Linked DNA regions of Oryctolagus cuniculus. The protein of the gene in region 5 interacts with the protein of the main gene of each other region in a pairwise test. Links are inferred from orthologs where the notes say so. Each region holds a gene or a part of one and is shown on either strand. Other genes may lie near its edges. The genes, in order: PPP5C, ARIH2, OLFM1, KCNQ5, DISC1, AGTPBP1 and CCDC88A.

What was found.
Region 1: the proteins of DISC1 (region 5) and PPP5C interact in a two-hybrid assay, tested with the Homo sapiens proteins (2 studies listed by BioGRID and IntAct). The link is inferred for Oryctolagus cuniculus from reciprocal best matches to the Homo sapiens genes DISC1 and PPP5C.
Region 2: the proteins of DISC1 (region 5) and ARIH2 interact in a two-hybrid assay, tested with the Homo sapiens proteins (2 studies listed by BioGRID and IntAct). The link is inferred for Oryctolagus cuniculus from reciprocal best matches to the Homo sapiens genes DISC1 and ARIH2.
Region 3: the proteins of DISC1 (region 5) and OLFM1 interact in binary tests that used the Homo sapiens proteins (3 or more experiments, as listed by UniProt). The link is inferred for Oryctolagus cuniculus from reciprocal best matches to the Homo sapiens genes DISC1 and OLFM1.
Region 4: the proteins of DISC1 (region 5) and KCNQ5 interact in a two-hybrid assay, tested with the Homo sapiens proteins (2 studies listed by BioGRID and IntAct). The link is inferred for Oryctolagus cuniculus from reciprocal best matches to the Homo sapiens genes DISC1 and KCNQ5.
Region 6: the proteins of DISC1 (region 5) and AGTPBP1 interact in a two-hybrid assay, tested with the Homo sapiens proteins (2 studies listed by BioGRID and IntAct). The link is inferred for Oryctolagus cuniculus from reciprocal best matches to the Homo sapiens genes DISC1 and AGTPBP1.
Region 7: the proteins of DISC1 (region 5) and CCDC88A interact in a two-hybrid assay, tested with the Homo sapiens proteins (2 studies listed by BioGRID and IntAct). The link is inferred for Oryctolagus cuniculus from reciprocal best matches to the Homo sapiens genes DISC1 and CCDC88A.

What each region holds. Positions count from the first base shown.
Region 1 is NC_091449.1:10,796,223-10,800,309, forward strand, and holds part of PPP5C (serine/threonine-protein phosphatase 5), read right to left. Parts: intron 3,710-4,087; coding exon 3,644-3,709; intron 3,445-3,643; coding exon 3,346-3,444; intron 2,488-3,345; coding exon 2,382-2,487; intron 1,586-2,381; coding exon 1,443-1,585; intron 1,322-1,442; coding exon 1,234-1,321; intron 761-1,233; coding exon 720-760; intron 655-719; coding exon 476-654; intron 1-475. UniProt on the Homo sapiens protein: Serine/threonine-protein phosphatase that dephosphorylates a myriad of proteins involved in different signaling pathways including the kinases CSNK1E, ASK1/MAP3K5, PRKDC and RAF1, the nuclear receptors NR3C1, PPARG, ESR1 and ESR2, SMAD proteins and TAU/MAPT.
Region 2 is NC_091441.1:100,168,811-100,172,123, reverse strand, and holds part of ARIH2 (E3 ubiquitin-protein ligase ARIH2), read left to right. Parts: intron 1-305; coding exon of another isoform or gene 306-331; coding exon 332-400; intron 401-2,728; coding exon 2,729-2,812; intron 2,813-3,023; coding exon 3,024-3,095; 3' UTR 3,096-3,313.
Region 3 is NC_091432.1:236,271,260-236,275,346, reverse strand, and holds part of OLFM1 (noelin), read right to left. Parts: intron 1,919-4,087; coding exon 1,763-1,918; intron 130-1,762; coding exon 1-129. UniProt on the Homo sapiens protein: Contributes to the regulation of axonal growth in the embryonic and adult central nervous system by inhibiting interactions between RTN4R and LINGO1. Inhibits RTN4R-mediated axon growth cone collapse.
Region 4 is NC_091436.1:99,971,030-99,975,625, reverse strand, and holds the start of KCNQ5 (potassium voltage-gated channel subfamily KQT member 5), read left to right. Parts: upstream 1-1,553; 5' UTR 1,554-1,680; coding exon 1,681-2,081; intron 2,082-4,596. UniProt on the Homo sapiens protein: Pore-forming subunit of the voltage-gated potassium (Kv) channel broadly expressed in brain and involved in the regulation of neuronal excitability.
Region 5 is NC_091444.1:51,498,755-51,502,841, forward strand, and holds part of DISC1 (disrupted in schizophrenia 1 protein), read left to right. Parts: intron 1-3,192; coding exon 3,193-3,469; intron 3,470-4,087. UniProt on the Homo sapiens protein: Involved in the regulation of multiple aspects of embryonic and adult neurogenesis. Required for neural progenitor proliferation in the ventrical/subventrical zone during embryonic brain development and in the adult dentate gyrus of the hippocampus.
Region 6 is NC_091432.1:136,355,029-136,358,530, forward strand, and holds part of AGTPBP1 (cytosolic carboxypeptidase 1), read right to left. Parts: intron 1,653-3,502; coding exon 1,475-1,652; 3' UTR 1-1,474. UniProt on the Homo sapiens protein: Metallocarboxypeptidase that mediates protein deglutamylation of tubulin and non-tubulin target proteins.
Region 7 is NC_091433.1:147,168,695-147,173,329, forward strand, and holds the start of CCDC88A (girdin), read left to right. Parts: upstream 1-1,652; 5' UTR 1,653-2,527; coding exon 2,528-2,590; intron 2,591-2,686; coding exon 2,687-2,787; intron 2,788-4,635. UniProt on the Homo sapiens protein: Bifunctional modulator of guanine nucleotide-binding proteins (G proteins). Acts as a non-receptor guanine nucleotide exchange factor which binds to and activates guanine nucleotide-binding protein G(i) alpha subunits.

The DNA.
Region 1 (4,087 bases), on a different chromosome or scaffold from region 5:
CAGGAGGCTGGAGGGCCAGGGCTGGGAAGGGCAGTGCCAGGACACAGGGACAGGAGGGCAGGCGGGCGGGGCTCCCAGGGCAGAGGAGCGGAGACCAGACTTGAGGTCTGATGGCGCCGCTGGCTCTGCCCCCAGGAGACGCCAGGAGCACAGGCGGCCCGGCAGGCCCAGCGGCCCAGCTGGGGCAGTGGGGAATGGGACGGGGACTCGGGGACGAGACCGCAAACGGGGCCCTCGCTCGGTGCTGCTCTGACCAGCGACGCGGGGAACGGCGGTGACTGGGCTCTGGCAATGGCGCAGACGCCTCTGGCGGGGGACGTGCCATCGCTGGGAGACACTGGGGGTGTCGGCGGAGACCACAGCCCAGACGGGGAAGGGCAAGGGAGGGCACGCGGCATCCCCTCTGCTGCTCGGCCTTAAGTAACTGGAACCCAGACAAAACCTGTGGCCGGCAGGGCGGCCGGCGGGAACGCACCAGTAGTTGGGGGCGGAGAAGACGGTGACGCAGCGGCCACCGTGCGCCACCTCGTAGCCCTCGGCCTTGACCTCGTGGCTGCGGATGATGTAGTCCAGGTGGTTCTCCTCCAGGAAGGCCTTGGTGACGTCAGGCCCGAACTGGCAGCTCACGCCTCGCTTGCTGACCGAGCGCCCGTTCTGCGGGAGACGGGGCTCAGAGACTGCCGCCCCACCCCCGCCGCCCCCGAGGGCCCGAGACTCACCTGTGGCTGTGGGTCCGACCAGAGCAGGTCGCACATGGGACCTGGGGGGTGGAGGGAGGCGTCAGGGGCTTCCTGGCCGGCCGTGCCCAGCCCCCAGCGCGGCCCGAGGCGGGTGGACGGGGCCCTCCTCTGCCGGGCCTGCCCTCCCAGCCCCAGCCTCCCTGCCGACCTCCCCGCACCCCATTCACCTACTTTTCCCTGCAGGATCTGGTCCAGTCGAGCTCACGCCAGCCACACCGTGGGCTCCTCCCACCCCCAAGCTGCCCGGGCTCGCCCGACTGTGCGCGGGCGGCAGCTGCTGCTCTCGGGGAGTCGGCTCCAATGCTGCACCCCCAGCCCTGTGTGACACTCGCACAGGTGCACGGAGCTGCAGCCTCCCTCCAAGGGCCAGCAGATGGGCTCCCAGGGCTCCCCACAGCCTCGCCCTGCCCGTGGACGCTCCAGCCCCCCGGCCAGCAGGGGCCCCGAGGCTCACCTGCTGCGCCCTGCTGGGGCGCCGGCCCCACCTCCTCACCTGAGTCTGGGGGCTGCCGATTCCGCTCGATCTTCCGGATGTCGTCCAGAGTGACGCCGTCCTCACTGAACAGGCCCCCGTGCATGATCTGGGGGGGCAGGGGGTGGCCAGGTGAGGAGAGGGCCGGCCCCGCCCGTCTGCCCGTGTGCCCGGGGAGGGGGGGAGGGCCGGCCCCGCCCCTGCCCGGGTGCCCATCCCCGCGTCCTCACCAGCACTTTGCCGTTGATGCACTGGGCCAGCGGCAGCCACTCAAACACCTCGCTGAACAGCTCGTACATCTGGGCCGTGTACTTGGCCTTCACCTCGCCCTCGAAGCCGTAGATCTGGTTCATGTTGTCCGTCTCGTGGTTGCCTGGCCGTCGGCGGGAGAGGGAGAGCCCTCAGCCCGCAGGTCCCCCGTCTCCCCCCGCCCGGCACCCGCAGGTGCAGGCCTGGGCATCAGGCTGGACTGCCCATGTGGCAGGCAGCCCGAGCCAGTCAGTCCCAGCGCCCGCAGCGGCCCGTCGCAGCAGCCAGAGGGGTGGACCCTGCGCTCAGACCATTCCTGAAGGCAGCAACTGGACTGGGAGATCTCACCCAGGCCCCAGGCCCTGCCCTACTGACAGCTCCACCCTCGGGGCAGTGGCCGAGGCACGAAACCACCCCCGTCCTGGGCAGTGGCCGAGTCCTCCCACTGTGTACCCTCCAGGCTGGCAGTCCCAAGGGGCCGGGGGTGAGGGAGGGTCTTGACCAGAGGAGCCCACTCCCTCCCTCCTCCTGCTCTGCTGCTTCTCTGCGCCCCTCCCCACTGGCCCGACCTCTCACAGGGCAGCCCCTGCCCCAGGCTGTCATTCACGTGAGAACCAGACCTGCCCTGCTCTTCCCGGTGTCCAGCAGCCTCCTGGAGGTGGGAACCACTGAGAGCCAGCCCCAGACTCCGCCCTGATCAGCCCCCATCAAAGCCCAGAGCTCCACCCGTCCCCTCCTCCAGCGGCCCTGCCCGGACCTGCGCCCTCACACGGACCCAGGTGGAACACAGACATGACAGAAACTGCCCCAGGACCCTTGTACGTGCAGCTGCCATGGCTTTCTTTGCTTTACAGATCAGGCCAGGGAGAGTGAGTGCCCCCCAGCCCCCAGGGACCTGAGCCTGCTGCCCTGTGGCTCACCTCGAAGTAGGTGAAAGTGGTCTGGGTACAGGAGCTTGAAGCCGAAAAGGGTGAGGATCACTTCTACGGAGAAGGAGCCGCGGTCCACGAAGTCGCCATTGAATATCCACCCCGCTAAGGAAACAGCCGTGGGCTGGGGCAGACGGGTGGGGGGCTGTCCTCTCCCCTCGCCTGGCCCCCAAGCTCCCGTGAGCTCTCCCCCAGGAGCAGGGACTCAGTGGGGCTCAGGAGGCCGTGCCAGGCCCTTCCCTGCCCGGTGTGCAGTCTGCTGCAGCTGCCTCAGGACAGGCCCAGGGCCCCCACCAGCAGCTCACAAACCTGGTGGCCAACAAAGCGACCGCTCGTCAGCCCGGAATCCTCTCTGCAAACCCTTCAGGGCGCCAAGGCGGCCCTGGCACTCACCAGAGGAAACCAGGGTGGTTTCCAGGAGGCAACATAACCAGCCACGGTCCCACCACTGGGGAGCGGCAAAGCCAGGATGGAATGTGGCGTGGGCACTGCCAGGTGCTGGCCACTGGCTTGGGTCACACAGCACAGCGGGCCCAGAGACACCGGGCCGGCCATTGGCTCGGGTCACACAGCACATCGGGCCCAGAGACACCGAGCCGGCCACTGGCTCGGGTCACACGGCACCTCAGCTCAGAGACACCGGGCCAGCCACTGGCTCGGGTCACACAGCACATCGGGCCCAGAGACACCGGGCCGGCCATTGGCTCGGGTCACACGGCACCTCAGCTCAGAGACACCAGGCCGGCCACCGGCTCGGCTCACACAGCACAGCTGACCGAGCCAGGAGCCTGGAGTGCCAGGCCAGCCTGCCACTGCCCCCCACCTGGGCACTGCTCACGGCTCAGGCCGCTCCCTCCCTGGCGGAGCCTGCTCTCCAGGGGCTCCCCTCCCCGAGACGACCTGGGCTGGGGGTCAGGGCTGGGGGTGGGCGAGGCGGCTCTGCACACAAGGATACGTAGGGGTTGGTCTCTGAGGGTAAACCGTTGAGCTCAAATATGTTGAGGAGGTCGTAGAACTGGCCATGGGTGTCCCCACATACCGTAATCTTCTCTGTCTGGAAGAAAAGAGGCCACCGGAGAGGGAGGGGCCCAGAGAGAGACGTGGGGAGGGGGCAGAGGTGAGGGGAGGGGCAAAGGTCAGGGCAGACCAAGAAGCCGCATGCGAGACAGTCGGGGGAGACAGTCAGGGGACGAGAATGCAGAGACGAGACCGGGTCGGGTGGGGGTGTCCGAGAGGCCCCGCCCCCAGCGCACCTCTCTCAGCGTGGTCTCCACGAGCGTGCTCAGCTTGGAGAGGACTTCCTTGACCTGCACCAGAATCTGGAAGGGGGGCGGGCAGTGAGCCTCCTGGATCCTGGCAGAAGCACCAGGGGCCGGTGCTCAGCCTGCTGGACGGGGCATCTGCGTTCCAGCCCGCAGGCCTGGTCTGACCCCGACTCCGCTTCCTGCTGGTGCGCACCCTGGCAGGCAGCAGCCACGGCCAAGGGGGTTCCTGCCCCCCGCGGGGCAGACCTGGACTGGGTTCCTGGCCCCTGGCTTTGGCCCAGCCCAGCCCAGCCCCTTCTGTGGCGCTCTGCCTTCAATGGAGCCTGCGGCGCTGCACAAACAGCTTAGAGGGTGCTTCGGGGAAAGCTGGGGAGGGAAACTCCATCTGGAAATGGAGGTGCTCCTCCCACAGACTGAAGCCGGCCTCCGCAG
Region 2 (3,313 bases), on a different chromosome or scaffold from region 5:
AAAGGAAAATGAAAAGATAGTCTTCGGACAAATATTGAGATAGATATGTGGACTCTGATGTCCAACCCAAGAAGGAGAAGTCACTGAGGCAGTGCTGGTAATAAATCACAGTTTGAAAAAGGAAAGGTGGGTGTCCTGTGATCAGTTCTGTTCTGCTTTCCCCATGTCTTGCCCCAGTCCATCTTCTCCTTGGCTTGGCTCTGATTCTTTGAAGCCCAGACCTGTAGAGCCAGGTTAATCTGCATGGTGGGGCAAGAGTTTTCAGAGCCACCTGAGGTAGAGGTAGGTTAGAATCACAGACACAGGTCCCTTCTCTTCTCTCCTGCTGCAGTGTCGGTACACTCTGCAATACACCTATCCCTATGCGTACTACATGGAGTCTGGACCCAGGAAGAAGCTGGTAAGGCAAAACCGTCCCTGCACTCTGCCCTGGTAGCTTCAGAGGCGCCCTTTCCTTCAGCTCAGGATGGGCCCTGAGCGTTGGGAGGGCAAACTCAGAATGCAGCTATTGAAGTGCAGAATCGGGCAGCTCCAGGCGCATCTCAGGTGCTGTCGTTTGGGCAATAGACAGGCACATGCACCTAAGCCTCCAGATGACCAACCGTGCTTAAAGGGGGATTAGCTAAAAGATTGTGGTTCCTTGGGAGGCCCTGCCTATGCTTTGGGAGGATATCGGCATGCATGTCGCTAGGTTAGAGTCGATATTTTTATACCATTGTTCAATTTTCTTAGGTAAAGTTTTCTTCCCACTGCTTATAAAGTGGTTTGCATTTGTTAATTGTTGGAAAATATTCAAAACTTTTCATTCATGATCTCACCAGAAAGATGACCATTGTTGATTAACATTTTCTAGTCTTTAAAAAGTATATATAAGGAAAAAAAAGTATAGGTAAGACAAGGATATATATATATATATATATATATATATATATATATATAACTGTTTATTGTTAGGACAGTTTACTGTTACAGCTGTCACTATTTGATGGACTTGTAAATACCATTTGTTTTAAAGAATATTTATGTAGGGCCCACTGCTGTGGCATAGCAGGTAAAGCCACCACCTGTAGTACTGACATTCCATATGGGTGTCCATTTGAGTCCTGGCTACTCCACCTTTTTTTTTTTTTTTTTTTTTTTTTTGGACAGGCAGAGTGGACAGTGAGAGAGAGAGACAGACAGAGAGAAAGGTCTTCCTTTTGCCGTTGGATCACCCTCCAATGGCCACTGTGGCTGGCGTACCACGCTGATCCGTAGCCAGGAGCCAGGTGTTTCTCCTGGTCTCCCTTGTGGGTGCAGGGCCCAAAAACTTGGGCCATCCTCCACTGCACTCCCGGGCCATAGCAGAGAACTGGACTGGAAGAAGAGGAGCAACCAGGACAGAATCTGGTGCCCCGACCGGGACTAGAACCCGGGGTGCCGGCTCCGCAGGTGGAGGATTAGCCTATTGAGCCGCAGCACTGGCCTGGCTGCTCCACTTTCAATGTAGCTCCCTGACCATATTACCTGGGAAAGCAGCAGAGGATGGTCCAAGTCCTTGGACCCCTGCACTCATGTGGGAGACCCGGAAGAAGCTCCTAGCTCCTGGCTTTGGATTGGCCAGCCCTGGTCATTGTGGCCATTTGGGGAATGAACCAGTGGATGGGAGACTTCTCTCTCTGCCTCTAACTCTGCCTTTCAAATAAATAAACTTTTTTTTTTTTTAATAGAATGTATTTGAAGGGCAAAATGATGAGAGGTCTCGTCCATCCACTAGTTCAGTCCTCAAATGTCCATAATGGGAAGGAGGGAGAGGGGAAGGGGAAGGCTGGGCAGGCCAAAGCTAAGAGCCAAGAACTCCATCCAGGTCTCCCACGTGGGTGACGGGGACCAAGCACATGGGCCATACCTCATTGCCTCCCAGGATGCACATGAGCAGGAAGCTGGATCCGAAGCAGACAGGACTCTCTCAGGCACTCTTATATGGGTTGTCAGCGTCCCACACAGTGACAACACACTGCGCCACAATGTTTACCCCAAATATTATTTTTTAATGACTGTAAGTGCTTCATTATAGGGTTGTATGATGATTTTGGGTATTTATTATTTCTGGTTTCCACTATTGTAAATAGGAACTGAGGAAAACCTTTATACACAAAGCTTTATCTCCTCAGATTTATAAGTACTAAGTCAAATGATTAGAGTATTTTCAAGACGCTTGATTTGTAGAAGAGCTGGGAAAAAAATGAAATTAGTGTGGCTGTGCCATGTGGCCATATTCTTCAAGTAGCGTCCCCCCCTTTAACTTATTTGAGAGGCAGAGAAAGCGAGCACGTGCATACCCGCTCCGATCCACTGATTGACTCCCCGAATGCCTGCAGCAGTTCTTGGCTGGATCCAAAGCCAGAACTGAGAACCCAGTCCAGATCTTCTACATGTATGGCAGGCAGGGGCCCAATTCCTTGCTGCCTCCCATTATCTCCATTGGCAGGAGCAGCAGCCAGAGCTGGGTGTTGAGCCCAGATACGCCCATGTGGGATGCAGGCATCTTAGCCAGTGTCAACTGCTAGTTAAATGCCTGCCACTGTGCAACCTTTTGTTTGGATTTTGCTTGCTGGCCCTGGGCTCAGGGAATAACAGTGCTTTCTGAGGACAGTGTCAAGGTTGTCTGTAGCTGCATGTCCCTCTGTCTACTAGCTCTGCCTGGCTGCAGCCCCCTCCTTTTCATCCTCTCACCCTGCCCTTACAGTTTGAATACCAGCAGGCTCAGCTGGAGGCTGAGATCGAAAACCTCTCGTGGAAAGTGGAGCGTGCTGACAGCTATGACCGAGGGGTAAGTGCCTGCTGTCCTCTGGCAGATGAGAGGACTGGCCTGGTGGTAGGAGGCACAAGGTACTGCTTTGTGAACTGGAAGCTGCTGCCAAGAGGGTTGGGAAGGGCAGAGTTTTGACTTGTTTGGACCCCCTGGCATGGTACATATGGCTTTGGTTACTCTGCTCCGGAGCCTGGGCCATGCAAGCAGCCATCTTGCTTCCCTGGTGCAGGACTTGGAGAACCAGATGCATATAGCAGAGCAGCGGAGGAGAACCCTGCTGAAGGATTTCCATGACACCTAGGCTGGGACGTGGACGTGCTGGGGTGAGGAAGACGTGGCTGCAGGTCTCCTGACGGCCATGCTGCATGCTGCAGGCTCTGCCCTCACGACCCCAGGCGGCAGCCAGGGCCCCACTCCTGAGAGACGCTGGCAACACCTCCTAGTCATTTTACGTTTTCTTCTCATCTTTTTGCTTTTTGTTTCTACCAGGGTAGAGGCCATGTTGAATTGGCCTCTTTT
Region 3 (4,087 bases), on a different chromosome or scaffold from region 5:
CAGTTCGTTTAGCACTGACGTCAGATTCTGGACCTCCTCCTTAAACTGCAATACCAATTTGGCATCGGCCTTGTACTCTTCCAACACAGGGATCAAAGGCCTAAGTTCATCCATTTTCGCTTTAATCGCCTGCAAGGTTAAAATAAGCTGGGTTCAGTGCCTAGCATGCAAGAACTGGTAAGGCCTGCCTCGCCGGCTCCTCCCACGGGCGGGGCTGTGCGCCGCCGCGCCCCGCCCCGGCAGAAGGCGTAGGAATCAGTCCCAGGACACCGAGGGCTTTGGGAAAGGTCTTTATTGGCACAATGCAACATCCGGAAGTTACATGCGGTTACGTCACAGACAACACAGAGTTCTTTTTTTTCTTCCTTTTTCAAAAACCGCATCGACAAGGGCTCGGGCTACTCCTGGGATGCATCTACGGCCGCATGCAAGGGAGGCTCCTGGTTGAGTTCAAGCTTCCTTAGTGATATGGTGCTACGGATTGGAAAATAGAGTAAAAATGCAAGGTGCAAAAAGCTGTCTGGCTCTCTCATGTTACAGGGGAGTGGGCTGCGTCTTCTCTCACTGCAGCATGAAAAAACTCTTTAAAGTTAGCCCTGCAAGCAAGAAAACGAGAGAGCGTTGAGGAGCCAGCTCGCTAGCCTGGCCGCGCAGACGGCCTGAGACAAGCACTTTCACGGTCAGTTAAAAAAAAATCACACGCTACTGCTGGAGTCAGTCAAGCAAGGGCAGGAGCCTACCTCTGCTCCCCCACAGCCGCGGCGCCCCCGTCTGGCCCTCAGAGGGACCCCCGCATGGCCGGTGTGGCCTGGGGACGCCCCGGGAGCTTAGAGGGGGTCTCCGGGCCACAGGGCAGGGAGAGCCGGCCCCTCTGGGAGCCAGAGACACAAGCCCCTTCCCGTCAAGCCCGGGGGGACCCAGGCTGACCCGTGAGGAGCGGGCACGGGCGGGCCAGCAGCCGGCTGCCGCCACTCGGAGGCCTCGGGCTGGCCGGCATCTCACGGGTAACACAGACCGTATAACTTCATTAGTTTGCCGTTTCGTCTGTCTAATGTCTCGCTTTTAAAAGAAAATTAGTCCTCGCTGCATGCAGGGAGCAGATCAAAGAACAGCATTAGCATAAAAAGGACGGGGGGGCAAGCTCGGGAGCAGTCTGCAGCGGGGGCCAGGCTGTGCGACTCCGGGCGCGCGCCGCCGGCGCGTGGGCCGCGCGTCTCGGCAGCATGCAGCGGCATCTTAACCGAGGCCGCACGCACTTCTCCACGGAACCTTCTGGAAACCAGCAGCCAGCAGGGGTGCCGCCCCAGCTGCACGTCACGCGTGCAGGTTCCACAGCTTTAGTGCCCACAGTCACCGGGAGCCGTGCGCACTTCACCGCCTGCGAGGCGAGAGAGGCCCTGGGGCCCACGTCTCCCCCACCCCCGTCCGTCCACAGCGTGCCTCGTCACGGACGACCTGCCCTGAGTGATCTGTGCTCAGAGATGGCTCCGGCCAAGCGTGCTAACCCCTGCCTAGTGTGCTTTACCTGCAGGAGTGGGCGGGAGACGCGGCCGGGGAGCAGGGGCCGTGGGGCGCCGGCGCCCGGCTCGCCCACAGATGGCTCTCCTGCGTGCCAGGCAGGAGCGCTGTGGCAAGGCGCTGTGCGGGGCAAGAGCAATCCTGGCCGTGTCCCCCCGGGGCTCCCAGGTCACCACCGCTGCAGGGGACGGGACAGCACGAGGGGCCAAGCCTGGCTCTGGGGGGCCGTGGGGGGCGCACACACCTTGAACTGCCTGGCCAGGTGCTGCTTGTGGCTCTCCTCCACCTGCTTGAACTTGGACTCCAGCCCCTTCATCTGGCTCTCCATCTTCTCCACGTACTGCAGGTCTCTCTGCGTCCGCCTGTCCAGCACCTCTATGGACTGCGACATGTTCTGCACCTGTGCAGAGGGTGACAGGCGCGAGGCAAGAGCTGCGGCGGTGCCCGGCTGGCTCAGCCGCCGCCCGCCGCCCCCACGCACGCACACACGCGTGCACACACACATGCTCAGCCGCCCGCCCGCCCCCACGCACGCACACACGCGCACACACACATGCACACACACGGACGCACGCACATGCACACACACACACACGCTCAGCCGCCCCCGCCCGCCCCCACGCACGCACACACGCACGCGGCCAGCCACCAGGGGCTCCATGCATTATTTACGAGCTCATCGGCAGCATCACACACAGAGCAAATTGGTTCTGTCAACATCCTCTCTGCCATCTTGCCGAGCCTGATCTTGGGATCTGGGGGACGCGGGAGCCCAGGACCCTGGGGGCGGGTCCTCTCCAGGTGCCATTGCCTGGCCCCACCCTCGGCCCCGCCCCCAGGTATAAAGCCCCAGCCCTCCCTGGAAGGGCTAAGTGCAGGAGGAAGGAACCGGGAACGGCCCTCCCCACCTCCCGGCTCGCGTGCCATCCGTCACACGCGGCATCACGAGCGATCACGGCTCTGCAGGCTCGCACACGCCTGTGCCGGCACAGCCGCACCGAGCCCAGCTCAGACGGAGCGTCACCGCTCACCGGGGTTCCAGACAGCTCCGGGGGACGGGCAGGCCCCCGGCAGCCGCCGGCCTGCTCGCTTCCGGCTCGGGAGTGCAGCAGAGGACGACGGCCGTGGCACGGGGGTCCTCTCCCCAGAACCCGACCCCGCGGCCAGGCAGGAGGACACCTCCCCGGCAGCAAATCTCTTCTGGTTTTATTTATTTCTGCTGAATTTGAAAACCCTCTGCCGCGGGGGTCGGTGGGGCCGGGCTCGGCCTGGGCGGCCAGGCTCGGGGGGGGTGGCGTGGCCCCCATCCCCTGCAGTCCAGCAAACAAAATGCAGCCACGGCAGCCTGTGTGCCTGCAGGCAGTGTGCACAGATCCGGTTCAGAACCCAGTCTGGAAAGCACAACACGGGGCGACGGTGGCTCTGTGGCCCCCCCCCCCCCCCGCCGGGCCATTCCATCAACGGGAAACGGGCCTGGGCCTGCCTGCCGTCTGCCTGCCCCCATCTCACTCCGTCGTTCCGAGTGCCCCAGGCACTCCTTTCCATTGGTTTCCTTCACCCTCAAGGCCCAGCCTGAATGCCGCCTCCTCCAGGGAGGTTTCCTGGATGAGCCAGGCCAGACGGGGCCACGTACTACCGCGGAACAAAATCACTCTGCTGGCCCAAGCCTGAGCCGGAGCAAGCCACACGCCGGTGTCGCTACCCAAGCCCAGGGCCAGGCCGTGAGCCTGCAGGCTGGGAAGACGGCCCCTCTGCCCACCCCCTTCGGAGAGCAGCAGCCAGGGACCACACACAGCTCTTAGTTGCTGGAGGGGGAAAGTTGTAAAGATTTTAAATCTTGAATTTGTCAAGATCAAACTTCGACTTACAAGAGACAAACTCTGGCCAGCTGCCTCCAGCCCAGGGCTCCAACAGCCGCCCCAGCCTCCCGCCCCCAGGCGGCATCCTAGCCACAGCCCCCAAAGCTCCCGATGCCCCACCCCCACCCCGGCGCAGCAGGTGCAAGGGAGCAGGGCGGGGGTCAGCGGCAGGCAGCAGGCCCACCTGCCCTCCAGGAAGGCCACACCCCCTCACAGAAGGTTTCCCGCATCCCAAGCACACGCACTGATTGCCGGCTGTTTACCCAGTGCTGCCGGGTGACCGCGCTGACAGCCTGGGCGAGGGGCAGCAAACCTGCTCGCTGTCGCCCAGCCAGGCCGGCTGCCTCCTGCCCACAGCCCCGCCCGCTCCCGGTCCCTGCGGCTCCTGCGCAGGCTGGCACGGGGGTCTCAGAACGGGGTGGGGTGGGGGAGGGTGGTGGCTCCCAGGACTGTCCTCAGCCACCTGGCGGGACTCTGAAGGCTCGGCCAGGAAGTAGCTCGCTGGCGGCCTTGGCCGGTGCACAGGGTTCTGGGGCGTCTGCTCTGCCCACGGGGGTGGGTGCCCGGTGTGTGCCTCGCCTGGCCGCTGAGAGCCAGGAACAGAAGGGCACTGGGCCCAGACCAGCGGGAGAGGAGCTGAGGACAGCTCTGCACGCTGGAATCCGGCGTGCCTGCCGCTGCCGTGGAAGATGGGCCTTTAAATTTTTAAA
Region 4 (4,596 bases), on a different chromosome or scaffold from region 5:
GAGCTGGTGCTTGCTGCCCAGAGGCTTGGGGGAAAGCAAGGTCTTGCTGGCGACCAGGAGCACGGGAGAGGGCTTCGCGCAAACAATAGCGACAACAATGAAAAGTAAAAGTACAGTATTTCAATTCAGCTATTGCGGGACCCAGAAAGCAGCTGCGGCGGGTGTGTGTGTGGGTAGAAGCGGGAATTGGTAGAGTGTTTATCTCAGAGGGGTGGAGACAGCCGAAATAAGACTTTTGCCTTAGTATTACTTTAGGATTAGGGAAGGAGAAAGGCACGCGGAATAATACACCTTGCAAGCTTAGTTCAGTCTAAGTGGAGATTGCTTTCTCTCTCATTTGGGAGCAAAGCCACTCTGCTGGAGGAAGTTCCCCCAAGCGGTGTGTGATGTTTAACCGCTTAGGCGTTATCCCACACACGGAAGGCCAGTGGCCCCGTGGCTTCCCTCCCGACCAAAGGCGCAGGCTCTGGGGCGCCTGGCTGCCTGAGGCGGCGGGAACCCCAGCCGGAGGTTCCTCGCAGCACGTTTCTCACCCAGTAAGTTAGAGCAGCGCGCAGGGGCGGGGTGGGAACCGGAGAAGCCTTGTCCTGGGGCTCCTCACCCTCCAGGATTCCTCTCCCAGGCACTGGGGCCGCCGCCGCCACCGCCACCGCGACTTAGCAGTTTTATGACTTTCTCGGACTTAAATGGAAATTTCTTTACGGAGGGAACTGGGTTTGGTCTCCAAGGCTCGGCTGTCAGGCGGAGCCCCGGGGGCAGCTCGCTCACCGCAAAGGAGCCACTTCGGAGTTTGACGCCCTCCCCACACCCCACCCCCGTGCCGCGAAGGATGTCCAGTTAGCCGCGGGCTTGCGTTCTGAGGCTGGCATGGAAAGTCACAGCCCGCAGGCTGGACTGAGCCGCGGGAAGATGCCCAGTGCCTGCCTCGCGGGCTCAGCAGACGCGTCCCTCGGCCCTGCCCACTGAGCTGCCGAGGACTGGCTGGCTGCGCCCAGAGCGTCGCCCCTCGCGCCCCTTCCGGCCGGCCGAGCTGCTACCTGGAGGGCAGGGCAGGGCTGGGCAGTGCCCGCTCGCACCCTTTGCGGGAGGATGGCAGGACCTGGCGCGGCGTAGCGGCTGGAGAGCGCAGCGACCTGCGTCTCCCGTTTCTCCTCGGGGCACCTGGCCGACTTAACCTTCCGGACAGCTAGCTCCAAAGCCCCCGGGAGAAGCAACCCGCACTCGCACCGCGGAGAGGGGAGCAGACACAGGCTGGGCGTGGAGAGTGGAAAGAGCGGAGAAACGGAGAGCCTGGGGCTGGGCGTGCGCGCGTGGGAGCGCGCCGCCTCAGAGCGCCCCGCACTCCCCCGCTCCAGCCCTGGGGGCACTTGGGCAAGGAGGCAGTGGTAGCCGCGGGAATACGAGGGCGCGAGAGAAACCCTCTCCCGGCGACGCCCCCAACAGGTCCGGACTCCGAACTCCGAAGCTACAAGCTGCAAGCAATTGAGACTCGTCGGCCTCCTCCGCACGCCCCTGAGCCCCCGCCCCGAAGCCCGGGGGCTGTGCTGGCTGCCGGCTTCCCGCCCCCTCCCCGGCGGAAGGTCGCTGGCCGGCGGGCGCCCCGTCGGCTGCCGCCGCACATGAGGCCGCTGCCCCCGACGCAGGCGCTGGCGCCCCCCTCGCGGTGCCCGTGGTGATGCCATGCCCCGCCACCACGCGGGAGGAGAGGAGGGCGGCGCCGCCGGGCTCTGGGTGAAGAGCGGCGCGGCGGCGGCGGCGGCGGCGGGCGGGGGGCGCCTGGGCAGCGGCATGAAGGATGTGGAGTCGGGCCGCGGCAGGGTGCTGCTGAACTCGGCGGCCGCCAGGGGCGACGGCCTGCTGCTGCTGGGCACCCGCGCGGCCGCGCTCGGCGGCGGCAGCGGCGGCCTGAGGGAGAGCCGCCGGGGCAAGCAGGGGGCCCGGATGAGCCTGCTGGGGAAGCCGCTCTCCTACACGAGTAGCCAGAGCTGCCGGCGCAACGTCAAGTACCGGCGGGTGCAGAACTATTTGTACAACGTGCTGGAGAGACCCCGCGGCTGGGCGTTCGTCTACCACGCGTTCGTGTGAGTACCCGCGCCCCCCGCGCGCCCCTCGCCACGCCCGCTCCTGAAGCCCCTTGAGCTGGGTGCCCTGGAACGTGCTTGGCATCTGCGCCTTGGCCCGTCGCGCGCATAAGCGCGCGCGTACACACACACACACTCACGCGCGCACACGTGGGGGTTTTATTTCATTGCACGTGTTAGTGGGCTTTCTCCTGGAGCCATGCACCTCCCCATCCCCACCTGTCCCACAGCCGCAGCTTTGCACCCGTCTCCCTGAGGACACCCAATGAATTGCCTGGTAGTAGCTTCAGGCACCTGGGGCGGGAGAACCCGGCAGACTTAAGCTACGCGGATAATGGGGAGCAATTAGGTCCTGAGATACGTAAACTTCAACCGAGCGGGGCGCCCGGGAGCTGGGAAATGCAAAGGGAGGATTTGCGCCCTTTGAGGCTCGAGAGTAGACAGGGGAGGTGCTGGCAGGTTGGGACAGGGTGGAGAGAGGAGACACCGAGGGCTGGGTCCTCGGTGCTGGGGGCGGAGCAGGGGAAGCTGCTACTTGGTGGAGACAGCGGCTGGGTTTTAAGTGCGTCCGGAAGCATGCCTCGCCACCACCCCAGCCACCACTAACGGAAAATCTGTCAGTGCGTGGAGCCCTTCCTGCCACAGAGAAAGTGGCCAAGGTCTCCAAGAGCCGAGCGGGCTGGGCGAAGCCGTGCTCCCTCGCTGCGGCCGCAGCCCGTGGGGCGCAGGAGCTCGGGCCGAGGTGCACCCGCTGAAGCGCAAATGGGCTGTCTCGGACAGGGATCAGGCAGTGGGTTAAGTCGGCGTTTGTGGCGTGGAGTCAAAGTGTGCGTGTGTGTGTTAAGTCAGCCCTCGCCATCTAGCAGAGAATGCTTAATGAGAAAATGATTGGAAGCAAATGTTTATTTTCCCCTTAGGCATTTAAAACCTTTCAGTGGCTTTAAAGTTTACTACTGTTTTTCCCACAATGTCCATTCATTTAATCTCCCGTTAGAGTGAGGTTGATCTGGACATTTTAAGGCTGTTTTTATGCTGCTACGCCCCCAACTCTTTTCATTTTTTTTTCTTTCCCTTTCTCCTTTTTTCTTTTTCTCTTTTTAGTTCCCTCCCCCCAAACCCCCACCCTGTCTGGCTTCTTAATGTTAAAGTGAAATGTAAAGACTTAGGTCTTAGGAGACCCATGGAGAAAGTTCAGGCAGTCACTGATGCGTTCCTTGTTTCGTAGTAAAATATGTTTTGAAATATGTTTTGAACACACGAACTAGATTTCTTTTAGAAATGAGGCGGGTCATCCACACATATCTCTCAGCCCGGATAAAGGGTTGGCGTCAACGCGGAGTCATTTCTTTTTTTAAGACAACATAAAAGAAGGGGCTGGTTTTGTAAATAGGTGAACCTGGAATTTGACCACGTAGGAGTCAGGAAATTGGTGAAGTCTACAATCTGTGGGGTTCTGGTGTCTGGAAAATTTTACAGTCCCAGATTGTGTGGTGTGAGGTAGAATATTCCAGTCAACTCTCTGCTTCACAGTGTACACAAAGACGATATCCTGTTGTGTCATTATTGCTTCAAAAGACACAACTTTCTGTTATTCACTGATTGCAAGAGCCTCATTGATTTGGATGTGATTACCGTCATGCGTGATAGACACAGAGAAACACTACTGTTGTTTCCCATGTTCATCTCGTTGGGTTGATCTGTAATTAATCCTATTACTTAATGAGCCTAGTGAATTATTTTGACCTGTCAGAATATCCTAAAACATTTAGCAAAGTGAATGCTCAATCTGGCAGGAAATATATACTGCATGGGTAGTGACTGTTTCTACCAGAGTATGCCCAGAATAGTCATGACTTGGAATTTTCAATATGATGCCATTTATAGGCTTTCTTTTTTTTTTTTTTTGGGTAATTTATGCATTTTGTATTCAGGAAAGGTTAGAGACAACTTTGATTGGTGGACATACTTTGTATTTCCTGTGTTGTTCTTGAACAGCAATGAGAACCTCCTGCAATGCAACATTTTCTTTTGAGTGTTTTTGGTGTTTAACAGATTTTCGTGGCCTTACAGGATTTTTAAATATTAATAAATGTTTTCTCAAATGGCTCAAGTTTGGATACACTTCTGTTTCCCTGGCTTTATTGGTCTAGCAGTGTCTTTGGTGGTAGATAGGAGATAGCTTATGGACTTGTCAATATGTTGTAAGTAATGTGAAGTTGTGCATTACACACTTCAAGAGTCTGAAACCATAGTATCTGAGCAACAGATGTGGGTAGCAGACCCATAGCAGCACAAAGAAGGAAGTGCTGGTAGCGTCTTCAGGGAGCATTGTGTGCCATTGCAGCAGACCATGGAGAAAGAGGCCATTTTTGGCAATTGCTGCTTGTGATTTTAAATGAGTTGTAGTGTAGGTGGACTTCACACATTAAATTAGTAAAGCAAAGTTGCTTTGAGCTATAAGCCTAACCAGACCATTAATAATACAGCAAATTATAAGAAAACAATTTCTAGAGAG
Region 5 (4,087 bases):
TGGTCCTTGTGGCACAGCAAACAAATAATATACTCACTGGGGCAGGCGCCCAGGCACTGGTCTCCTTCAAGGAGAGGAGCTCAGCTAAGTCTATGCCAACAGACAAGAATAAAACTCCCCTCTGATGAAAAATAAAAATTAAAAATTAAAAAGGAGATTTACCACACCAAATCTGAGTGTGTCACCTCAGACACCCTTCACCCTGGAGCACTGAGCAGAGCTCCCTGGCCACACCCACCACATGCTTCTAGGTATTCCTGAAAGCAGACACTCCACTGATCCATCTAGATATAATCCAGAGGTAAAGTCTCCACAGTGAACAAAGCAAAGAAGAAACCAACGAGTATCTCCACAAATGTGGGATAACAAATGCACCAGTTCAAGAAACAAGAATAAAGAAAACAACATGACACCCCCAAAAGAATGCACTTCAGTTCTAGACTGTGAAGATGATGAGATTGAAAAAATGCCACAAATGGAATCCAAAACATTGATCATAGGATTACTTAGAAGTAATCAGAAGCAAATGCACAACTAATGAATTCCATACATGACATGAAAGAAAATTTCTCCCATGAAATTGAGATCTTAAAGAGAAACCAAATGAGGCCGGCGCCGTGGCTCACTAGGCTAATCCTCCACCTTGCGGCGCACCGGGTTCTAGTCCCGGTCGGGGTGCCGGATTCTGTCCCGGTTGCCCCTCTTCCAGGCCAGCTCTCTGCTGTGGCCAGGGAGTGCAGTGGAAGATGGCCCAAGTGCTTGGGCCCTGCACCCCATGGGAGACCAGGATAAGCACCTGGCTCCTGGCTTTGGATCAGCACGGTGCGCTGGCTGCAGCGCCCCGGCTGCGGCGGCCATTGGAGGGTGAACCAACAGCAAAGGAAGACCTTTCTCTCTGTCTGTGTCTCTCACTGTCCACTCTGCCTGTAAAAAAAAAAAGAGAGAGAGAGAGAGAAACCAAATGAAATCTTGGAAATGAAAAATTCAATAGAACAAATAAAAAACAAAAAAACACAGTGGAAGCCTTAACAACAGAATCAGTGAAACAGAAGAAAGAATATCCAACTTAGACGACAAAGCACAGGAAATTATACAATAAGACCAAACACAAGAAAAAGAAATTAGAAAAATAAAAAACACTGTTGGGAATCTATAGGATACTATCAACAATCAACAAATGCTGGTGAGGATGTGGGGAGAAAGGTACACTAATCCACTGTTGGTGGGGATGTAAACTGGTAAAACCACTATGGAAGTCAGTTTGGAGATACCTCAGAAATCTGAATATAGACCTACCATAGGACCCAGCCATCCTACTACTGGGTATTTACCCAAGAAAAATAAAATAAGCAAATAAAAGAATTATCTGCACCACCATATTTATGCAGCTCAATTTACATAGCTAAGACATGGAATTCACCTAAATGCCCGTCAAGGGAAGACTGGATAAAGAAATTATGGGATATGTACTTTATGGAATACTACATAGAGGTAAAAAAAATGAAATCTGGTCATTTGCAACAAAATGGATGAATCTGGGAAACATCATACTTAGTGAAATAAGCCAGTCCCAAAGGGACAAATACCATATGATCTCCCTGATCTGTGATAACTAATAGAGCACCTAAAAACAAATCTGTAGAATGAAATTGACACTTTGAGAAGCAATGACTTGAACAGCCCTTGTCTTGACTGTTGAAGAACTTTTTTAAAAATGGAGAATGGGACTGGGAATGGGAGAGGGAGTAAGAGGTGGGGTGAGATTGGGGGTGGGAGGGCAGGTATGGTGGGAAGAATTACTATATTGCTAAGATTGTACTTATAAAATTTGTACTGATTAAATAAAAGGTTTCTTTGAAAAAAAAGTATCTATCATGAAATCAAATGGATGAATGAAAGATATACTTTTTTTAAATGCAAGATTTTTGAGTTTTCATGAAAAATGAAAAAATTTGTCTACCCCAAGTCCATGTGTCCTACAGATTTAATTGGACTGCACTTGTAACAGACTCCCTACAAGGAAATGTCCTTCCTACCAGCCAGAATCATTTCTTTCTGTTCTCTTTTGGCACCAAGGCTGAATATCTGTTGTGCATTTAATACCACCCCTGCTTGGCTCTCTTTATATGCATTGTATGCTGGGCACGCTAGCATTGGATTTTATGCTCCATGTTAATAGGTTCTAACAATGGAGTGGAAAACAAGATAGAAATAAGCCCTGACCTCAGAGAACAAACCAAAAATCATATAAATAATTAGGATTATGATAAGTAGTCTGAAGGAAAAGTACAAGATGTTAAAGAGAGAAATCATAAAATGTCTCTAATTGGAAGGGAGGGAAGGTTCCTGCAAGAAAAGTTTATTTAAGCTGAAATCTGAAGATACAGCAATTCAGCCGGATGTAGGTATGGGCATATATGGACTGCTGTTGTTTGATGGGAGAGAGATGGTCCAGGAAAATAAAATAGCACATGCATTTGTACTGAGCTGGGGAGAGTTAGGCAGATCTGAGGACCCAAAGAAAGTGCATAGGTTGGAACATCGATATGGACAGAGGCTATGTTGTATTTGGCCACTGGGTCTAGATGGTCTTGTAGAAGACCAAGTGGGCCGGCGCCGCGCCTCACTAGGCTAATCCTCTGCCTTGCAGCCCTGGCACACCGGGTTCTAGTCCCGGTCGGGGCGCCAGATTCTGTCCTGGTTGCCCCTCTTCCAGGCCTGCTGTCTGCTGTGGCCAGGGAGTGCAGTGGAGGATGGCCCAAGTGCTTGGGCCCTGCACCCCATGGGAGACCAGGAGAAGCACCTGGTTCCTGCCATCCGATCAGCGCGGTGTGCTGGCCACAGCACGCCGGCCGTGGCGGCCATTGGAGGGTGAACCAACAGCAAAGGAAGACCTTTCTCTCTGTCTGTGTCTCTCACTGTCCACTCTGCCTGTCAAAAAAAAAAAAAAAAAAAAAAAAAAAAAAGACCAAGTGGCTATGGAGGACCAACACTTATTGTGTGAGAACTTGATGGTATACAGATCTGGCACTCTGAATCTTCTGGCTGAAATAATTTGTTACAATATGAAATGAAATTAAGGATAACATGTCTAGCAGACTTCTATCTAGGTAAATAAGCTATTGACTTGGTCACCATTGATGAGTCACCATTGGGTTAATTTTTATGCTTTTGTTTCCTCCTCTGCCTTAGCTGCAAGTGTCCCCTGCTTGGAAGAGTGTGGGAAGCTGACTTGGAAGCTTGTCGACTGCTTATTCAGAGTCTGCAGCTACAGGAAGCCAAAGGCAGCCTGTGTGTGGAAGATGAGGGGCAGATGGGTGACTTAGAAGGAGCTGCCTGGGCAGTGGCTCCCAGTGTCCCTCCCAGTCCCCACTCTGAAGATGAGAGGACGACCCTTCTGCAAGCTGACCAAGAGTGGAAGGCTCATCATACCCCCTCCCCTCTATGCAGAGGAGGCGAACAAAAAGAGGTGTGTCCTGTCGGCGTGGCCTTCACAGGAAGGCCTGCTCTGGTGGGTGCTTTGGGACCATGCTGTACACAGAAGCAGCACATTTTGGGCAGGCTTATCATCAAACCACACAAACTTGGAAAAGTTTTTTTTTTTTTTTTTTTTTTTTGACAGGCAGAGTGGACAGTGAGAGAGAGAGACAGAGAGAAAGGTCTTCCTTTTGCCATTGGTTGACCCTCCAATGGCCGCCGCGGCCAGCGCACCGCGCTGATCCGAAGGCAGGAGCCAGGTGCTTCTCCTGGTCTCCCATGGGGTGCAGGGCCCAAGCACTTGGGCCATCCTCCACTGCCTTCCCGGGCCACAGCAGAGAGCTGGCCTGGAAGAGGGGCAGCCGGGACAGAATCCGTTGCCCCGACCGGGACTAGAACCCGGTGTGCCAGCGCTGCAAGGCAGAGGATTAGTCTAGTGAGCCACGGCGCCAGCAAACTTGGAAAAGTTTTAATAGCTATTGAATATGATTACAAAATTAAATAGAATTTTTATAGAAGAAATTTTAAACAGAGAAGGACAAGCAGGGAAAATGTTTAACATATTTAGTTTTATTTTTATACTAATATCATAGCTAGATTTAGAATATAC
Region 6 (3,502 bases), on a different chromosome or scaffold from region 5:
TTTAGTTTCTAATTTTCAACTCTGTAAAAGCCGCCAAAAATTCTTATGTGGGTATAATGGCTCCATAATCTACTCTCTGCAAAAAGTATGATTTTAATGACATATGTAAATTATTTACATTATAAAATAGGTTAAAATATTATAATTATAAATAATTAAATAAATAGTACTTTCCCTTGCTACAGTATCCTGATCTTTCCTAAATTAAGGTTCATGTACTTAGAGAACTGGTTCGACTTCCCAGCCCGGTTAATCTTTATTTCCTGAGATGGATAACAAGTAAGTGCCTTTCAGCTGCCCCATACTGTGTTTTTAAACACGGCTCCCAAGACAACAAAAAGAACTTACACTACAGATGCAATACCTTCAGTTGTACAAAGAAAAAAATCACTGGTTTGGAAAACTGTAAAACCTGAGAAGCACGTTTAGAATTTCTTTTCCATTCTAATTAGTTGAAAAATATTCTACTCTAGGAACAAGCAAGGAAGATGGGGGCCCAAACACTTGCATCTTGGCAAGGACCTGTTACTGGAGTATCTTCTGGGGTGTGTTTTGTCACAACAAAACCTGTTGCCCATCGCTTGACGACAAAGGCATTTCCTGCAGCAGCGTGGCTAGAATTCAGGAGGCTATAGCCACACAAAATACTTTCCATCCACGGCCGTCACCCTGGACTCTACCTTTCACATCAGCAGCCCCAAGACTTTCACATCAGAAGCAGCACTACTCAGGGGACGCTCACGAAACACACCATCAGGGAAAAGAGGTGTACGAATACATCTTTTATGATATGTACAAACACACCCATACATCATAAAAGACTTAAGAGTAGTAAATTGGGCTTTTTTTTTCTTTTCTAAATTTACCAATGTGTCCAGAGATTCTCACATAGTGCTATGGACCAAATCACCTGAGCTGGCCGAAAAGGATGACGAAATGAATGCAGCATTTAATAGAGTTTTTATTTGCTTAATTTGGTAAAGGTAGAATGTGATGGTTTCAAGGCAAACCCTTGGAATATTTCAGTCACAACCCATAACATGATTCTGAAGCACAGTCTTCGATATCTACCCGACCTTACACAGACACAGCTATAGAATTCCATGTACAATATATTCTGGTCACGAACGACTCAGGGATTTCAACAGCTCTAGAATTCAGATGTCATATTTTGACACACTGCAGGACATAACTATAACGAGATAAAAAATCCATGCAATGCTACTCGGGTTTCTTTTTAAAAGTAAATCTAGTTTTTGATCATTCAATGCTATATAAAGTGCATTGAATACCTAAAATAAAACAAGTGCCAATTTTATCACGAATTAATAACATATTTATTGTCCTGAAACCAAATAGGCCCAAGTTACTTTTTGTCCTTTTGAGTCAGTTCTCTATAAACTCATTTCTCTCAGCTTCCCCGTGTAGGGTATTTCGCTTCTTCTCTGCGGTTAGTCAAGAGATATCAGGGGGCTCAAGGGAGGTGCGTTCTGGATAGTTCTGAGTCAGAGAGCGCTTCTTCGTGAGCAGAAGGTTCATAGTCTCCCACATTTTCGGTCAGTTCGATATCTAACTCATCGTTACTTTCTGCGCTGTAATCAACTTCTTCAAGGAACCGAGGTTCATCTTCATCCAAAACGTAAGTGGTAGGGCTGTGGTCAAAACATACACAACACGCAAGACTTCATGAGAGGCTGCTGTTCTAACAGAAGGCTAGCTCACTAAACGGGATCAACTTGGATTCCCATAGAATACGAGCAGCTTGTATTAATTTTTAAAACTGTGTCCAAATGAACAAGCTGAGATATGTATAACAGTTGAAAGCTCCTTGTATGAACAATCAAGGGTGACATGCTTACTTTCAATTCTATTACAAGAGTGTCAATATACATCCTACTCAGATTTCTAAACAAAAAAAGTGGGGCTCTCTCATTAGGTTCTTTCTTGGAAGGATTTCAACCGTTTGCAGGCTATTAAGATTTATATGTAAAGTTCTGTAATAATTAATGTAAACCAGGCCGTATAGGAAACTGTAGGTATCTGGTTCAACTGATGCACTGACATCACTTGTGCCAAGACTATCGAGTGATCAGCCATCATAAACACAGCCTAAAGACCCACTCCCACGGCTGCCGCAGCTCGGGGAAAAAAGTGAAAAACAAGTGAACACTCCATCCTGAAACTAATTACTCTCCTCGGGGACGCAGAGCAATGTCTGCCCGAAAGCACTGAGCACTTCTCAATGCTCAGTAGGTAGGCTGGCAGGGAGTGAGACCGCCTCTCCACTAGGTCTCGTGACATACTTTCTTCTTGAAAAAGAAGTCACGGCATTCTGATTTCTCTCCATTTGTGAGATATCAGACACGTGTAAGCAGCACGCACACACGTGTACACTGTAGCAAAGAAACATCACAAACATTTGCAAGTTCCGAAGGCAGTGACCAAAACCACTGTGATTTCATACAGAGGTATGTTTGTTTATATCCTGTCTGTTTCCAAAAGGCATTTCCAAAAGTCAATGGATTTAAAAGCCATCAACTCAAATAATGCAAAGGAACAATAAATTGCTAAGATGATCAGAGAAGCAGATGTCATGAGGCACCTAAAATTAGGGCATTCCTGCAACTGACTGTTAAAATCCAGTTTGGATACCCACAAGGCAAGGATGGAGAATTAACGGATGGTATAGTTCTAATTTTTGAAAAGGAGAAAACAAAATCCATCTGGCAAGAGCACTTTTTTCCTAGAGTTACTTTAATCTTACTCATTAAAGAAAAGAGAAAAATGCATTGGAAAACCACCTTGAGCTAATATAATATAGCAAACTCCCTCTGCAGCACTCAGAGCTTGCCCATGACAGAGCAGTCCTGATAAATCAAGCTGAACACCATACCTAATGCAAGAACAATGTCACAAGTTCAATACTGTAAATCAAATATGCAGAGTAAATCGGCTAGGTCTTTAAAACACGAAGCTATCGAAAGAGAAGGTTATGTGCCCTTTAAAATGCCTGTTGCCATCTTTCTTTCTTTTGGACTACAATCACTCGTTTCCCCTCCTTGTTTCAAATTCTCAGGAGACATCCTAGGTGAGTCTTAGAATAGATGGAAATGGAGTTAAAGGAGGAGGCGAGAGAGAATTGAGAAAAGGCGAGTTGTCTATTGCCACAGACTTGGGTGTCGCTATTTTCTTCCTCGAGATGTTGTAACTAGAAGTGACCATGGAAACGCAAGGAGAAGGACCTGCTCCAAGGCCATGCCCTGTGTATGCACAGGGGCTGGACCCAGAGACAGGGTGCACGGGGATCGATGTATCCTGACACAGGCAAGGAGTGCACAGCCTCTGCGATGTGGCCGGCTGGGTGAGTGGGCTCGCGAGACGTGAATCTCAGCCTCCCAGGACCCCAGCAGAAAGCAGAAGGCCATACACGAAAGTGGTTGTGGGGCTGCAGTCATGCACTGGGGTCGGGGTCGGGGCCAGGACCTAGCTTTCCACACGAAAG
Region 7 (4,635 bases), on a different chromosome or scaffold from region 5:
AACTTCCATGTCGTTTTGTCAAGCTTCTGGAGGATTACAAAGAAAAGTGGACATGTCAGACACTGGGTACTAAAAGCAATGCTTCCTTCTTGTTGCATTCCACTCACCATAGAAAGAACTGTGATTAAGAGAGAGTCATCAAGAACAAAAGGAAAACATTGTGAGCCACCAGGATGACACCAGCCTTGTGTATTGGCCAGGGCCGTGCGAAGTTCTACTCTGTTACCACCTAAAAAAAGTCACATGAAAACATCCTAATTGTAATTAAGATCATTTGATAAGGACATGTGTTTCTGTTTCCCAAAAGCAAGATCCTTTCTCATGTAACTGAAGTAGGAGAGCTTTCATTTGAAGTTTCCTCCCAAAGATTCTTAATTTTAGGGGGAATAATGATGAAGACAACATCAACAACACTTATAAAATATTTCTATAAGCTGCCATTTCATTGAACTGCTTTACATATAAAGAAAGTGAAGCACAGAGCAGCTTAGTAACTTGCCTAGTCTCACAGAGCTAGTGAGCATTGGAACCATGCAGGAGAACTCCAAGCCCAGGCTCTCAACTACCTAATTAACAAACTGTGCTGTTTCTTAATTCAGTGCTATGACAAAAACATTCTCACTGCTAATTTAAAATAGTATGCAAGTATTCAAAGTAGATGTTTATGTAAGTGCAAACATAGCATACATTGTCAAACTATAACGCTATGCTTTCTCAAAAAATGTGTTTTACATGCCCATTTTAATCTCAAGAAAAAGATCTTCATTTCTCTTTGAAATGAGGAGTAACATTTGATTTTGCTAGGGAACTGTTAAAATTATTTTGATGGTTCCAGCCGTGCATAGCATAGAGATTTATAGTAAATATGTAATCTGTTTATTTGTCGCCCAAGTTGGATGACTTCCAAATGTTTCCTCTTTATAGCTCTTGATTTGTTTGGATTTTTTTCAATGGCCAAATCGTCACACACACACACACACACAAAAATGTCTAAATCACGTTTGCTCTTGTCAGGGAATAGCAACATGCTGAAAGATAGATTTGGTTGTTTAAAAATCCTACCACATTTCACTTGCATTCCATGCTTTAGAGGGCTGGATGTTAAAAAAAAAAAAAAAAAAGGAAAAGGAGAAGAAAAAAAGAACTAACTTGTGGCTCGCGTCCCTTTGCCCTTCGCTGAAGTCAGTTTTCCCATTCCATTCTGTTGGGGAGCAAGCATGCTGAAGAGATCAAACCAAACTGTCCGAAAAAGGCTGTCTGCATCCCTCATGTTTAAAAGAGAAGAATTTCGTTCCCCTTCCTTCACACATCAAAGAAGGCACTCGGGGAGGAAATAAACCATAATTAGGCACGAGTGAGCGAGCAGACAGACCCTTTCCTTTGCCTTCGCCATCCCCGCCCCCCGCCCCTGGCAACCATCCTGGGCGCTAGCAAGGCGCCGGCCACCGCAGCAGCTGCAGCGAGCGCGGCCCCGCGCCCGCGCCCGTCTCAGAATCTGGGCGGCGGCGGGGCCAACCCGGGAACGCGCTCGCCCGGGAGCGCGCTCATGCAGCGGTTTTCTTCTCCCACAATCCAGAGGCAGCGGCGCGGGAGGGGCGGGGAGTCGGCGGAAGGATATCGGCGCGGAGGGAGCGGCGCGTCCCCTTGACGGCGGCCTCGCTGCGCTGGTTGGGCAGCGAGTAGTGGGGTGTGACGCGGCACTGCGGTTCTGAGGCCGTTACTCCGGCTCCTCCAGAGAGGGCGGAGGAGGAGGTTGGAGCTCGGCGGTGATTTTGTGCCAGGGCTTCCCAGAGGCGCTCCGAAGAGGCTGGCGGGGCTCAGGCAGCCGGAGGTTTAGAGACGCACATTCAAGCCCCCATCCCCCGGGAGGGGAAGGGGGCTGGAGGCGAGGCGTGAGGGCGGCGGAGGAATGGTGTCTGCTCGGGGGGAAGGGGCGAGCCCTGCCTGTCGGTGGTGAGGGGCTGCAGACCGGGGAGGCTTCGCGGGTCGAAGCGGCTCCATGCCCACCGGTGGGTGGAACGTGTAGAGGGGAAACGCGGAGGTCGAGCCTGGCGGCCCCTTGGATCCCCTAAGGTGGTGTCTAACGTGGTGTTTGATAAAGCCCACGTTGGGATTAATTCATTGGGGGCAGTTCCGCTCGCTTGGCTGCTCTAGGAGCCGGGCAACCTTGACGGGCTTTTTGTCTTGCTGCTGCAGCCCTCTTTCCCCTTCCTCCTCCTCCAGATGCCTTTTCTCTGCCCCTCCTTGCCCGGTACCGACATTTCCAGCGCAGGCTGCTGCTCGTGGGGGCTGTCGAAGCCGCTTCTCGGGATTTCGGCTCGTTTCCCTCTGGGGTGTCTTTGGAGGAGGGAGCGTTTCCCCCCCTCCTCGATGGGGTTTTCCTCGCTTGCCAAAATGGACTTTCATTGATTTCTACTTCAACGTTTCGTGACCAATTCCCTAGGCGTATTTTTGTGGTAGTTCCTTTTTTTTTTTTTTTTTTTTTTTTTTTTTTTTTTTTTTTTTTTTTAAGTAGAGGATCTGTAAAATGGAGAACGAAATTTTTACTCCCCTTTTGGAGCAGTTCATGACCAGCCCCTTGGTCACTTGGGTAAGTGGAGTGCCCTTTATTGTAGATTTTGCTGGGTTATTTGTGGCTGCAGAGATGGAGGTGGGCGTTCATGCCCTGACGATCCTTCTGTTCTAGGTTAAAACGTTCGGACCTCTGGCTGCGGGCAGTGGGACCAACCTGGATGAATATGTGGCTTTGGTGGATGGGGTATTCCTGAACCAGGTCATGCTCCAAATGTAAGTCTTTTCTGGGTAACTTGTTTTCTTTGAGAAATAACGTACTGTGAACTTGAGACTTGATGTTTTCGCCCCTAATGTGGTTCTTGGGTTAGAAAAATGCAGGTGGTTCAAAAAATTGGATGTTGAAAGGAGTGAAAATCTTCCGTGCCCAACCCATTTATCGCAAGCCAGCAATTATGCCTGTTAAAATTGTGAAACTTTGCATTTTTCGTTTTGCCAACCTTGTGTTGTCACTTATTGTCTTCAGTGCTGAAAACCAAACCACACGGTGTCCTCTTTGATAATCTGGTAAGAAGAGAGAGAGGGCAAGAATGCAAATCTAGTGTCCTAATAGGGGGGAAAGGACTTTAATGTGAAGCTATGTGCATTTGATGCATATCTAAAAATAGTTATTTTTATACTCAGTTTTTGAAGCTAGTGAAGTAATAACATCTTAGAATTTCATACACAGTTCTGAGTGGTGAAGAGGACTGCTGCTGCAGCATGTAACTTAAATGTCTATAATAATTCAGGTCTGATTAGATGATTTATTGTGTGGACTTTGTGTCATATTTGAAAGATCATTTTAAGGTGTTCTTAGTTTTGAAATGTACATCATTGAAGGCTTGATGAGGACTAGACAACCAGTGATTTAGTAGTCACTTCTTTGTCTTTTATATTTATAATATTAGATCTATATTAAATGTTTTTGTTTGTTTCTGCAATGGAAATTGGATATTGAAAGTATATTGGTAGCTGGATTAGGGCAGTAAAAACAGCTGCATTTTTATTATTAGAGGTACTATAGCATACATGCATTCTAGGTCCTTCAGTGTAGGTTATCACACTGTGAATATCATTACAGTTGTGCTGTAAGTAATTAGCCTTATTCTTGAATAGAATCTGATTATAGGAGTAGTTTGGAACCTGTGATTGAAAGATGTTCTCATCTTTTATATATGTGGGAAATTAGTGCCTTATAAATCCATAGTTGCTAACAAGTAGAGAACAAGTCTATTCTGCTTTGAGAACTTTACATATAAATTAGCTATTCTGTATTTTACTGGAAGTTATTTTTCAAGTTAGTTTTCTGTTTAAAAGAGGTTAGATGTTAATTTCACAAATAATTGTTCCAGTTAGAGTTTGTATGCTCAGAGATTTATATGTTGATCCCACAGGGAGACATACTACTACCATACACTTTCCAAAAATGTTATATTTGTTTAGGTGCCTGAAGAAATGTATATGTTATCAAAATTTGTATTTTTTTCCTTAAGAAAGGAAGAGTGTAGACATTAATTATTTATAGGGTTAATAAATGTATTTTTGGCAGCTATCCCATGAAATTATTTTTTATTTTTGAAATATCCCACTATTTCCTAAGCGAAATGGTAGAAAAATTAAACTAACTTCTATTTTAGGAAACACACATGACAGGAAGAGTAGCCATTATGGTAGAGAGTCACCTTTTCCCCTATGTCTGTCTGTTTCAGAAAATTTTGAATTTGTGTGCATAACCCCTCCCCTTAAAAAGTATCTTTACAAAAATAGTAAAATTAGTTTTCTACTTTAGTGGATTTTTAAAATAATACTTTTTCCAAAAAAAGAGAAAGATTTGGGGCTTTTTAAGTCTTAAGTAGCTAGCCAAGGTGCTAAAAACAAACATGTTGGCTTATTTCCATTGTGTATAGGTATGTTTTGAAAATGATGGTGTTCCAAAATAGTGGTTGCCAGGGAGTTGTTTTTTTGGGAGGACTAGCTCCTTTCCAAACCTCAAATCTGCCACTGTGTTTTCAGTTCCACCTCTCAGTTTCTTTAAAAGTGTTTTCAGCGTCCTAATTCTGTTTGAATGACCCGTATAAATTA